2 separate regions of the Mus musculus genome follow, and region 1 is reported to be linked to region 2. Evidence: microRNA targets listed by miRTarBase, many of them from high-throughput screens and not tested one by one. Region 2 holds a microRNA gene; the other region holds the end of a gene's coding sequence.

The links. Region 2 holds the annotated microRNA mmu-miR-883a-3p (UAACUGCAACAGCUCUCAGUAU, at 1,681-1,702, opposite strand). A microRNA usually pairs through its seed, bases 2 to 8, with sites in the 3' UTR of a target mRNA and lowers its output. Matches are read on the target gene's strand: a 7mer-m8 pairs with bases 2 to 8, a 7mer-A1 pairs with bases 2 to 7 and ends in A, and an 8mer does both.
Region 1: the mRNA of Tsn is a reported target of mmu-miR-883a-3p. Seed matches in the 3' UTR shown: 7mer-A1 at 1,128-1,134.

What each region holds. Positions count from the first base shown.
Region 1 is chr1:118,296,087-118,301,244 of GRCm38, reverse strand. It overlaps Tsn (translin), which reads left to right. Exons shown (of 6, transcript NM_011650.4): 6 at 208-2,731. The coding sequence ends at 441. Among named protein-coding and RNA genes, the nearest start is that of Tsn, 13 kb to the left of the region's middle.
Region 2 is chrX:66,779,088-66,784,245 of GRCm38, forward strand. It overlaps Mir883a (microRNA 883a), which reads right to left and starts at 1,746; the gene lies at 1,671-1,746. Mir742 (microRNA 742) reads right to left here and starts at 1,350; the gene lies at 1,286-1,350. It also overlaps the pseudogene Gm14681.

The DNA.
Region 1 (5,158 bases), not on the chromosome of region 2:
CCATCACGTGTAGCAGACATTGCCTCAGTTCTGGTGGCGTTTGTTTCAGAGAACCTTCTGTTTTAATGTGCTTACATGTAAGCATCTTGAATACAGAACATCAGTTCAGTGTAGCTGTTTCAATTTGAGCTTCTAGCTGTGATTAGTGGGAAGGTGTGGAGGGAGAACCCACATAGTGATGTATCCGATTTCTTTCTCCCTGTGCAGTCGAGGCTGTCTGTCAACAGTGTCACTGCTGGAGACTACTCTCGGCCCCTTCACATTTCTACTTTCATCAATGAGCTGGATTCTGGTTTTCGTCTTCTCAATCTGAAAAATGACTCCCTGAGGAAGCGCTACGACGGCTTGAAGTACGATGTGAAGAAAGTAGAGGAGGTGGTCTATGACCTTTCCATCCGAGGCTTCAATAAGGAGACAGCAGCGGCTTGTGGTGAAAAATAGGAGCTTTTCCCTGGGGCTGGCCTTGCTGGCGCCGCAGTTGCCAGGGAGGGCTAGCTCAGTGCCTCTTCCTGTAGTTAGCACACCAGTTGCTAAACACTGCGCTTTATTTTCGTAACCAGCTGTGTGCTGTGAGTGTCAGAATTGAAATACTTTTTGGATCTAAACAAAAAAAAAAAAAAGAAAAAGAAACCTTTCCACGGATGGGGTTTTTTTGTTGATTTTCAGTGCACTTGCCGTGCCGTGTTGTCGTCGTATTACCATTTTGTCAACAGTGTGAATGTTGGTCCCTTGGTAAAAGTCCTTTCTTGCTTACCTGACTGTTGATGTACTGACTGACAGGTTTGTTGTCTTGTTTGTAATTTCTCCCACAAGTAAACAATGATGTTTTCTAGGTCCAGATTAGTCCTCCATTTCCAGCTATAGCCTGGATGCAGTGTGAGAATAAAATGGTTGACAAGCAAGGGAACTTTATTTTGCCCATCTTAAGTCTTGTAAGTGAGTTGAATTTTTTGCCTAGGAAATTTGAGGCCCCGACTCTGTCCCTGCTACTAAAACAGAGCAGATGAAACTGTACAGTTCAACCCAGCAAGGTCAAGGTAGAAAGAGCCTCTGGAAAAGCGTTGTGATGTCTTGTGTTGGGTTAGAGCATCTGTTTTCTGACATCACCTTACACCCCGGCTGCCGTAGCAGTTAGTCTTTACACCTGCCTAGAGCTAACACCTGTGTGCTGTATTTGTAAACATGGAGACCTTTTCTCAGCAGCCAGCTAGAACTGGTCTGGGAGTAGAAAGCCATCCTCATGTATTCACTCCTTATCTGTACTGAGGAGTGGCTTCTTAGAGACATCAGTGCTGTTTGGAGTAGAAGAAAGTAAAATTTGGCTTTAAAAAATTCATGTGATTGGCAGTATTTTTTGGAATAAGAAATTGAAGGTTGTGATTCTGTCAGTACATTTAAAATGTATAGTTTAGGGTAGTCATGTAAACTTTGGGCTCCTCTATGCCCTCTCCTTTTCAGATCGCATAAGAATTCATATGTGGCCATTCTTGGGGTAGAACTGAAATTATTAAAGTCAAGGCTGGTGATGTAGCTTTTAGTGATAGACTTGCTTGGCAATGTGAGGCAATGGTCCATCCTAGGACTTCAAAAAACTGAAAGAAAAAAAGAAAAAAAAAACCCAACAAAAATAGTGTAGGTTTTTTTTTTTTTTGCACCCTCTGACAGGAAGCTGCTGCCATTACTAGTGTAATAGGAAGTACTCAGGGGTGTCACCCTTTCTTTCTTGGTAGCATTTTGGGCTTCATGTTTGTGCAGTGGGATCTTTGACACTGGCTTTTATCAGGCCATGGTTAGAGACTAACTGGAAAGTGGGGCCTGAAAGTGCAGGCTTGTGCTCCCAGGTACACAGGAGGCTGAGGCAGGAGATTGGCAAATTCAAGGCTTCAGGGGTAGCCTGTCTAACTGAGTGAGATCCTGTGACAAAAAAAAAAAAAAAAAAAAAAAAAAAAGACCACCCACCCCCACACACACACACAAGCAAAAAACAAAAAACACCAACCAAAAAGGCTGGGGGTATGTTTCAGTGACTTTCCCTCGCATGTTTGAGGCCTTGGGTTCAACCCTTCGTTGTGCAGCGAGCGGGGTGGCAGGAGGCTGACTCTAATTTCCCATCCTGAGGAATGAGCTGTGATTGCTGTATATTGTTGGACATGTAGACTAGCTTTCTTCATGGTTCTTTTTGCAGGGTTAGAGTAAGGTATTAGGCAATTTTTGTTAGTTTACCATTTGAGACAGGGTTTTGCTGGTAGTCCAGGCTGGCCTGGAACTCGCACCTCTGTTTCCGTTTCCTGAGTACAGGATTAGACTCTTGAAAGTGTCTGGGAAGGTAGAAGGCTTTTCAGTTGCATGGTAGTTTCACAGGCTCTTGCCTGTTCTTGTGGGTTCTGCTAGACATCATTAAAGCTCTTGTCAAAAGTTTCATATTTTCCTCTTTAGAGACAGAGGTTGTAATGTCCTGCCTGTAGTGTTGTCTAGGCTGGTCTCAACCTCCTGGGCTGAAGCTCTCCTCTTGCCTCAGCCTGTGAGCAGCTGGGACTCTAGGTCATTGCCACCATACATAACTCTTGAAATTCAGTTTCAGATGCAATGAACAAATTGCACTTAAAAGTGAAGGAGTATGTTCTAGTGTTGTGATTCTACTTGAGAGTTTAGAAGTGTCATGTTGATAATTAGTTGTGTTCGTTACTGGCTTGTAAAGCAATAAAACTGTTTTTGGTCTCTTTGTAAAGTAGTGTGCTGCTGTTTGAACTCTTCTTCTCTATGGAGAATCAAATTGTTCATGTTCTGCTGGCCAGTAGTGGCCCACACCTTTAATTCCAGCACTTGGTAGAGGCAGGTGGATTTCTGAGTTCGAGGTCAGCCTGGTCTACAGAGTAAGTTCCAGGACAGCCAGGGCTACACAGAGAAACCCTGTCTCAAAAAAAAAAATTTCATGTTCCTTGCTGGCTGAAGAAGCCTGGAGTGGTAAGCCTGAGCTGTTGTGTAAGGGTGACACCAACCAAGACACTAGTCACTCCCAGGGCTTTGATGTAAATGCAGATACTGTCTGCATGATCGACCTCCATGAAGAAATTAAAGGTGTTTGAATTGAAGATGTTGAGAAATATTGCCTCTGGTTTTAGTATACCTTTTGTTTTGCTGACCCATGGATTAAGCTCAGATCATCACATATGCTAAACATGCATTCTACCACTGAGGTACACAGCTCCCAGAATTAGTCATTTATTTTTTGAGACAGGGTCTCCTGTAGCCCAGGCTGGCCTTCAATTTGCTGTGTAGTTGAGGGTGATTTTGGACTTCTGATCCTCCTCCCTCTACCACGAGTGCCCAGGTTGTGTGTTCCATGATACCTGGTTTATGCCATGCCAGGGATCAAGTCCAGGGCAAACGTTTTAGCAATTGATGTATAGCCCCAGCCTCAACACTGTTTTCCAATTTTAGAAAATTAGGTAGGGCAGCTGGAGAGATGGCTCAGCAGTTAAGAGCATGTATAGCTTTCAGAGGCTCTGAGTTGGGTTCCCAGCACCCATGTCAGTCTGGTGGCTCAACTGCCTTTAAATTGATTTTATTCATGCAGTGCTTACTACAGTGGCCGTGACAGTTAATCTTGGTTGTCAATTTGACTGGACACGTCTAAAAGATCAGTTAAAAGACATGTCTCTAGTTGGGTCCTCCAGAGTATTTCTGGAAGGGCTGACTAAGGTGGAAGACCCTTAGGCATCTCTGGCAGCAACTGCTAGCTTCAGTCCCTCCTGGTGAGTGCATCCCCTCTGCAGGTCCTTGAATCATAAGCTGACTACTTATATAAAAAGGGGAGTCATCACTGTTAGATACCTCACATGAGTATGAATCAATGATTTGATTCATATGGGCCAGAGCCAGTAGGGTATGTAGCAGCTGAGGACTCCATCTTCCGAAGTTTGAAGCAGTTAAGATAATGCCAGGAAGTCCAGGAATGCAAAAGAGCCGGCATGCTCTCACACATGTAAGTTAGAGTAAGTTATGGCCTTTGGTTTTTATAGTGGTCCTCCCCTTTTAGCTGGGCCTCAATTCCAAATCTGACACAGAACTGAGGAAAGCTGCATCTTAAAACTTGGCTAATTATAGGATGATAGAGTTCGGGTGGTCTCTGGATGTTTTTCCAATTCCTAATTGCCTCCACCTCCCTAGCTCAGGGATTCCAGGCTTTTACCAGCATGGTTGGTTTAATCAGTATTGGGATTGAAACCTAAGGTTTTGTCCGTGGTAGCTGAGCACTCTGCCTGATGAGGTACACTCCAGCTAACACTTTGAGCTGTATGCACTTCTTGGCTTGGAGAGGAGCTTTCCTTGAGTAAGTTGTGAAACAAGCCCTTTTAAATGTGTGTTCAAATGATTGAAGGATCTTGGTGTGTTGCCCAATCTGGCGTTTTACTCAAGTGATCCTTCAGCTGGAGCCTTCCAAGTAGCTGGGACTATAGGCATGTGCTTCTGGCCGTGTCTGGTTTAACTGTAGCTTTGGCATTCCTGTAAGACCATCTCTTCCCTGATGACCTTCTGTGCTATTACCCCCTAGCCCAAAAAGAAGAAATTCAAAAACCACTATGAGTTCCCAGTATCTGCATACCTTTTAGCTGGGTGTAGTTGTTTTTAAATTTTAACATGAATATAGGAGGAAAATTATTTTTCCTTTAAAAAGTTAGGGCTTTTGTCTTACGTTTCTTGTGATAAAATACCCTGATAAGAGCAACCCTCGTAGGGTTTATTTTGGCTCTGAGGTCAAAGGTACTTTCACAGTGGGGAAGTCAAGTGTTAGGAGCTTGAAGCAGCTGCTCCCATCTCATTCCCAGGCAGGAGATAGAAATGGGTCCATGCTGGTGCTCAGCTGCCTTTCTGCCTTTTATACAGTCTAATATCAGAGCCCACTGAGTGGAACCATCCAAAATGGGTGGGGCTTCCCACCTGTCCCAGTCAAGATAACCCCTACAAGCCCTGCTCAGAGGCCAGTCTTACAGGAGATTTGAGATTTTGCTGAATTGATTAATAGCACACCTGGCAAACTTGAAGACTCATTCTCAACAAATTGAAAAAATTGGGACTTAGTAATGTGTACTTACAATACCAGTGCCAAGGAGGCGGGGATTGGTTCCCCAGGGCTCACCTGGTAGCCTGTCTAGGC
Region 2 (5,158 bases):
GAAGGAAATTATTTTTTTTTTCTTTAGATTATCTTCTTTCTTTACATTCTCTATTTTGAAAGTACCCATGAGGTGAAACATGGATAGTCTACACTATGTTGAAAAAGTAAGGATATGGGGCAACAAAGACTCAAACCGTTTCTGTGTTTAGTCTTTCATTAACACAGTGTACCTCATTTTCTTTTTATGAAAGCATAATTCTTAATTTTAGCACCTTGTTCTCCTTTTCCTTACCTAACATAGATGCTTGAATGCTGTCCCATGAAAGTGATTAAAAAGATACACACAATTGTATAGTAAGGCTTTGTGATCATCCTGAAAACCATTATCAGTGATCTTACATGGAAAGCACTAATACTACCTAGAACCTATCAAAAATAACTGAATTAAAGAGCAGTACTTTACCTGGAAGATTTGTCGGTAGTCCAACTGTCTAACAGCTTCTTGAGTGAGATATAACATAAAGCATGAAGATATGGAGGTATCATCCATGTAGGCTAATCATCCCAAGCAGTTTTCATCACTTCACCAATTACAGCATGACATATTAACATTGATTTATTTATTTTCAACTGTTTGGGAATACAAAATATACTTTGTCACCTTGCATGATAAAGGAAGACCTCTTGACCTATAGCCAGATAGCCAGTGTGACTTTAAGATTAATCAGTGATATACTTTGCAAATGACTTTTAAAAACTAGGTAATGAAAATCTTCTAAAAGAATCAGAATATTGGGAGCATAGGATGAGAATACAACACAATTGTACCTGTATATCGCTGTTCAATTACTGGAGAAAGTTACAGAATACAGAAGATAGGAACTTGGTCTATTTAAATTCAAATCACTGATACCATCATAATTTCAGTGACTTGAATTTAAATCTGTTTGGTTCTTTTTCACTTAGGGCCATATTTATAAAGGAAGACTCTAATTACTTGTAGCTTTTCAGTCCACTTTCGTGCACTCATCATCTAAGTTGTCACAAGATATTTGAATTGATATTCAGTTGGGCCTGAAATCATTGATTGGTTTTATTTCTGATATTTATATTCATGATCCCTATTGAGACTGGCATGCAATTTTCTGTTCTTATAATTTGTATAATTTGGGTTCTGTGCAAGCTAGAATAATGCTAACTTCCACAACATTTAAACTTAAAAAAAAAATGAGAGCATAGTTTCTTCAGGTACAAGGAAGCAGATTCTGGAGCCATAATAAGGATGTATAGTTTCTTCATCTTTACTACCCAAGGCCACAACAAATGAAGAACATGATGAGCTTTACTTTACCCAGCATGGTGGCTTTCACCTACACTTCACGTGATTAGCAACCATGTGAGTAGAGCACTGCCCAGGTACTCTAGAACCAGCCCATCTGAAGTCTTTATTTCAACATGTGAAATAAAATTGAATAGAACATTGAAGTAAGTCGTCAACAATAATTACTTTTTTTTTTTAACCACACATTCTTCTTCGAAGCTGTCTTCTCATGTTCCACCATTAGGATTTTTCTTAGTATACTTCTAAAGTTCTACAACCGTTCTCTTCTCTATGGTTATAGATCTGAAGATATCATGAAGATGGATGAAGTATAATCCAGAATCAGTACATTTATCTTCTCTATGAAGGCATAATATGACCATATGGCTACCATCCCTGCGTTTGTTGAGCCTTACAATACTGAGAGCTGTTGCAGTTACTTATAGAATAAAGTAACTGCTACTTCTCTCAGCATTATAGTGCACACGAATTATTATTATTATCAGCTGACTTCAAAAACAACTTTCATGATTCTTCTCAGTATGACATGAATGCAATGTTATTTCTTTACACATAATTCCTCAGGAAGTATAATCATATTTTCCATTATCTTCCATCTCCATTTCAAGGTATCAGACTTGCTTCTTTCTTGATACTCCTCGAATCTGTATGAATTCAAGAGGTTAAGAATTAACAAGTCATAGCCGGGCGTGAATCCCATCACTCGGAAGGCAGAGGCAGGCGGATTTCTGAGTTCGTTTAAGGCCAGCCTGGTCAACAGAGAAACCCTGTCTCAAAAAAACAAAACAAAACAAAACAAAAATAGAATTAACAAGACAAATATTCTTATAAATATATAGGTCAGGTGACACCAAAGAATAACAAATGAACAAGGCAAGACCTCAAGATACCTGCAATGATTTAGTCATCAGCATCAAGAGAATATATCAAATGAAGGCTTCAGTATGTATTAATCTGTACTTTGAGATAGCATAGACTGATCCTTTGTACTTCATCTCAACAACAACAATTTCATCCAACAGCTTTTATCACAATCTTCACAATTAAACACACCCCCACTAAACTGTGTCTGTAAATGTTTGATTTCACACTTAAGCTGATGATATTGAAAATCCAATTGATTTTGCATGTACATTTCACATAAAAACCTGTCACTACCCTAACTTAAAGAGAAATGATGATCACAACAAAACATATTCTTTTATCAAACTTAATTATAATTATGACCAAAGTGAATATGAAATTGTAAAGGATTAATAAAAATATAATTTAAAAAATGTGGATTTTAGGTCAAAAGTTTTATGGGTGGGTTCGTGTCCTTATCTTTCACAGGAGGTCCTGCCTGTTTATAGGAGGTGGCCTCTTCAGGTTCCATGTCCACATTGTTAGGCATCTCAGCTAAGGTCACACACAATGGCTCCTGGGAGCCTTCCCTATCCTAGGTCTCAGGGTCTGCTTAGAGATTACCTCCACCCGTAAGTCCCCTGCAAGATAGAGATTTCCATTCATTCTCCTGGGCCTATGGGCCTCTTTCTTTTCCCTTCCCACACCTGATCCTGCAAACATATCCCCCTCACATACCCACATTGCTCCCTCTGCCTCCCATGACAGTTCTGTTACCCTTTTTAAGTGTGATTCAAGCATCTTCAATTGGGCCTTCCTTCTTGTTTAACTTCTTAGGGTCTGTGGGCGTATGTCATGGGTATAAGTATGTACATACCATGCATGTTCTTTTCTGTCTGGGTTATCTCACTCAGGATATTTTCTAGTTCCATCCATTTGACTGCAAAACTCAGGATGTCCTCCCTCTTAATAGCTGAGTAGTATTCCACTGTGTAAATGAAATACATTTTCTCTATCTATTCTTCAGGTGAAGAATATCTGGGTTGCAGTATTGCTGAATCTTCAGGTAGAACTATTTACAATTTTTTTGAAAAAACACCAGATTGATTTCCAGAATGGGTCTTCAAGATTGCAATCCCACCAGCAATGGAGGAATGTTCTTCTTTCTTCTCCACATCCTTGCCAGCATCTGCTGTTGCATCAGTTTTTTATCTTAGCTATGCTGATTTGTGTAAGATGGAATCTCAAAATTTGTCCTGTCTAAAAGAAATGCAGGGACAAAGATAGATCAGAGACTGAAGGAATGGCCAACCAATAACTCGTCCAAAGTGAGATCCATCAAATGAAAAAACACCAATCTCTGACATTATTAATGATACTCTGTTATGCTTGCAAACTCTGTTATGCCTTGAGAAGTTCCAACCAGAAGCTAAGTGAATAGATGTAGAGTCCCACAACCAAACATTGAACAGAGGTTTCAGACGACTTATGGACAAGTTGGGGAAAGGACTGAAGGGCCTGAAGGCAACAGGAACACCATAGGAAAACCAAATATGTCTACTAACCTGGACCACTGGAAGCTACTGGAGACTTTTTCACCAACCAATGAGCATACATCGGTTGGACAAAGACCCCTGGCACATATGTAGCAGAGGTCAGCCTTGTCCTGCCTCTGTAGGAGAGGATTATCCTAATTATGCAGACTTGATGAGCCTGGATGAGGGGCAATGGAAGAGGGACTGTAAGGGAGGCAACATGAGATATAAATAAAAAACATGATAAGACCAAATTTAAGTATTATTTATCTATAAATCAATCTTTGTAGAGACTGTGCTAGAAGCAAAACTTCACCTTGTGTGAGGAGCCGCCCTCACATTTGCCATTATAAGATGGCACTGACAGCTGTGTTCTAAGTGGTAAACATAGTCTGCACACATGCAGGGGCAGTTTTCCCACCATGTGTTCTGCCTTTCCCGTGATGACAACTGGGCCGATGGGCTGCAGCCAATCAGGAAGTACTACATCCTAGGTGGAGGATAATTCTCCTTAAAAAGGGATGGGGTTTCGCCATTTGCTTGCTTGCTCTCTTGCACTCTGGCTCCTGAAGATGTAAGCAATAAAGCTTTGCCGCAGAAGATTCTGGTTTGTTGCGTCTTTCCTGGCCGGTCGTGAGAACGCGTTAATAAGAATTGGTGCTGAAACCCGGGATCGAACCAGGGACCTTTAGACCTCTCAGCAATGCAGGCTTAGCGGCTGCCATCCTTCAATCCCAAAAATGCTCCATGGGCAGAAATGATCGGAGGACATGTTTTAACTGCAGAAAGCCTGGGCATCTTAAGAAAGATTGCAGAGCTCCAGATAAAAAGCGGGGAACCCTCACTCTTTGCTCTAAGTGTGGCAAGGGTTATCATAGAGCTGACCAGTGTCGCTCTGTGAGGGATATAAAGGGCAGAATTCTTCCCCCACCTGATAGTCAATCAGCTTATGTGCCAAAAAACGGGTCATTGGGCCCTCGGTCCCAGGGCCCTCAAAGATATGGGAACCGGTTTGTCAGGACCCAGGAAGCAGTCAGAGAGGCGACCCAGGAAGACCCACAAGGGTGGACCTGCGTGCCGCCTCCGACTTCCTACTAATGCCTCAAATGAGTATTCAGCCGGTGCCGGTGGAGCCTATACCATCCTTGCCCCCGGGAACCATGGGCCTTATTCTCGGCCGGGGTTCACTCACCTTGCAGGGCTTAGTAGTCCACCCTGGAGTTATGGATTGTCAACATTCCCCTGAAATACAGGTCCTGTGCTCAAGCCCCAAAGGCGTTTTTTCTATTAGCAAAGGAGATAGGATGGCTCAGCTGCTGCTCCTCCCTGATAATACCAGGGAGAAATTTGCAGGACCTGAGATAAAGAAAATGGGCTCCTCCAGAAATGATTCTGCCTATTTGGTTGTATCTTTGAATGATAGACCTAAGCTCCGCCTTAAGATCAACGGAAAAGAGTTTAAAGGCATCCTTGATACCGGAGCAGATAAAAGTATA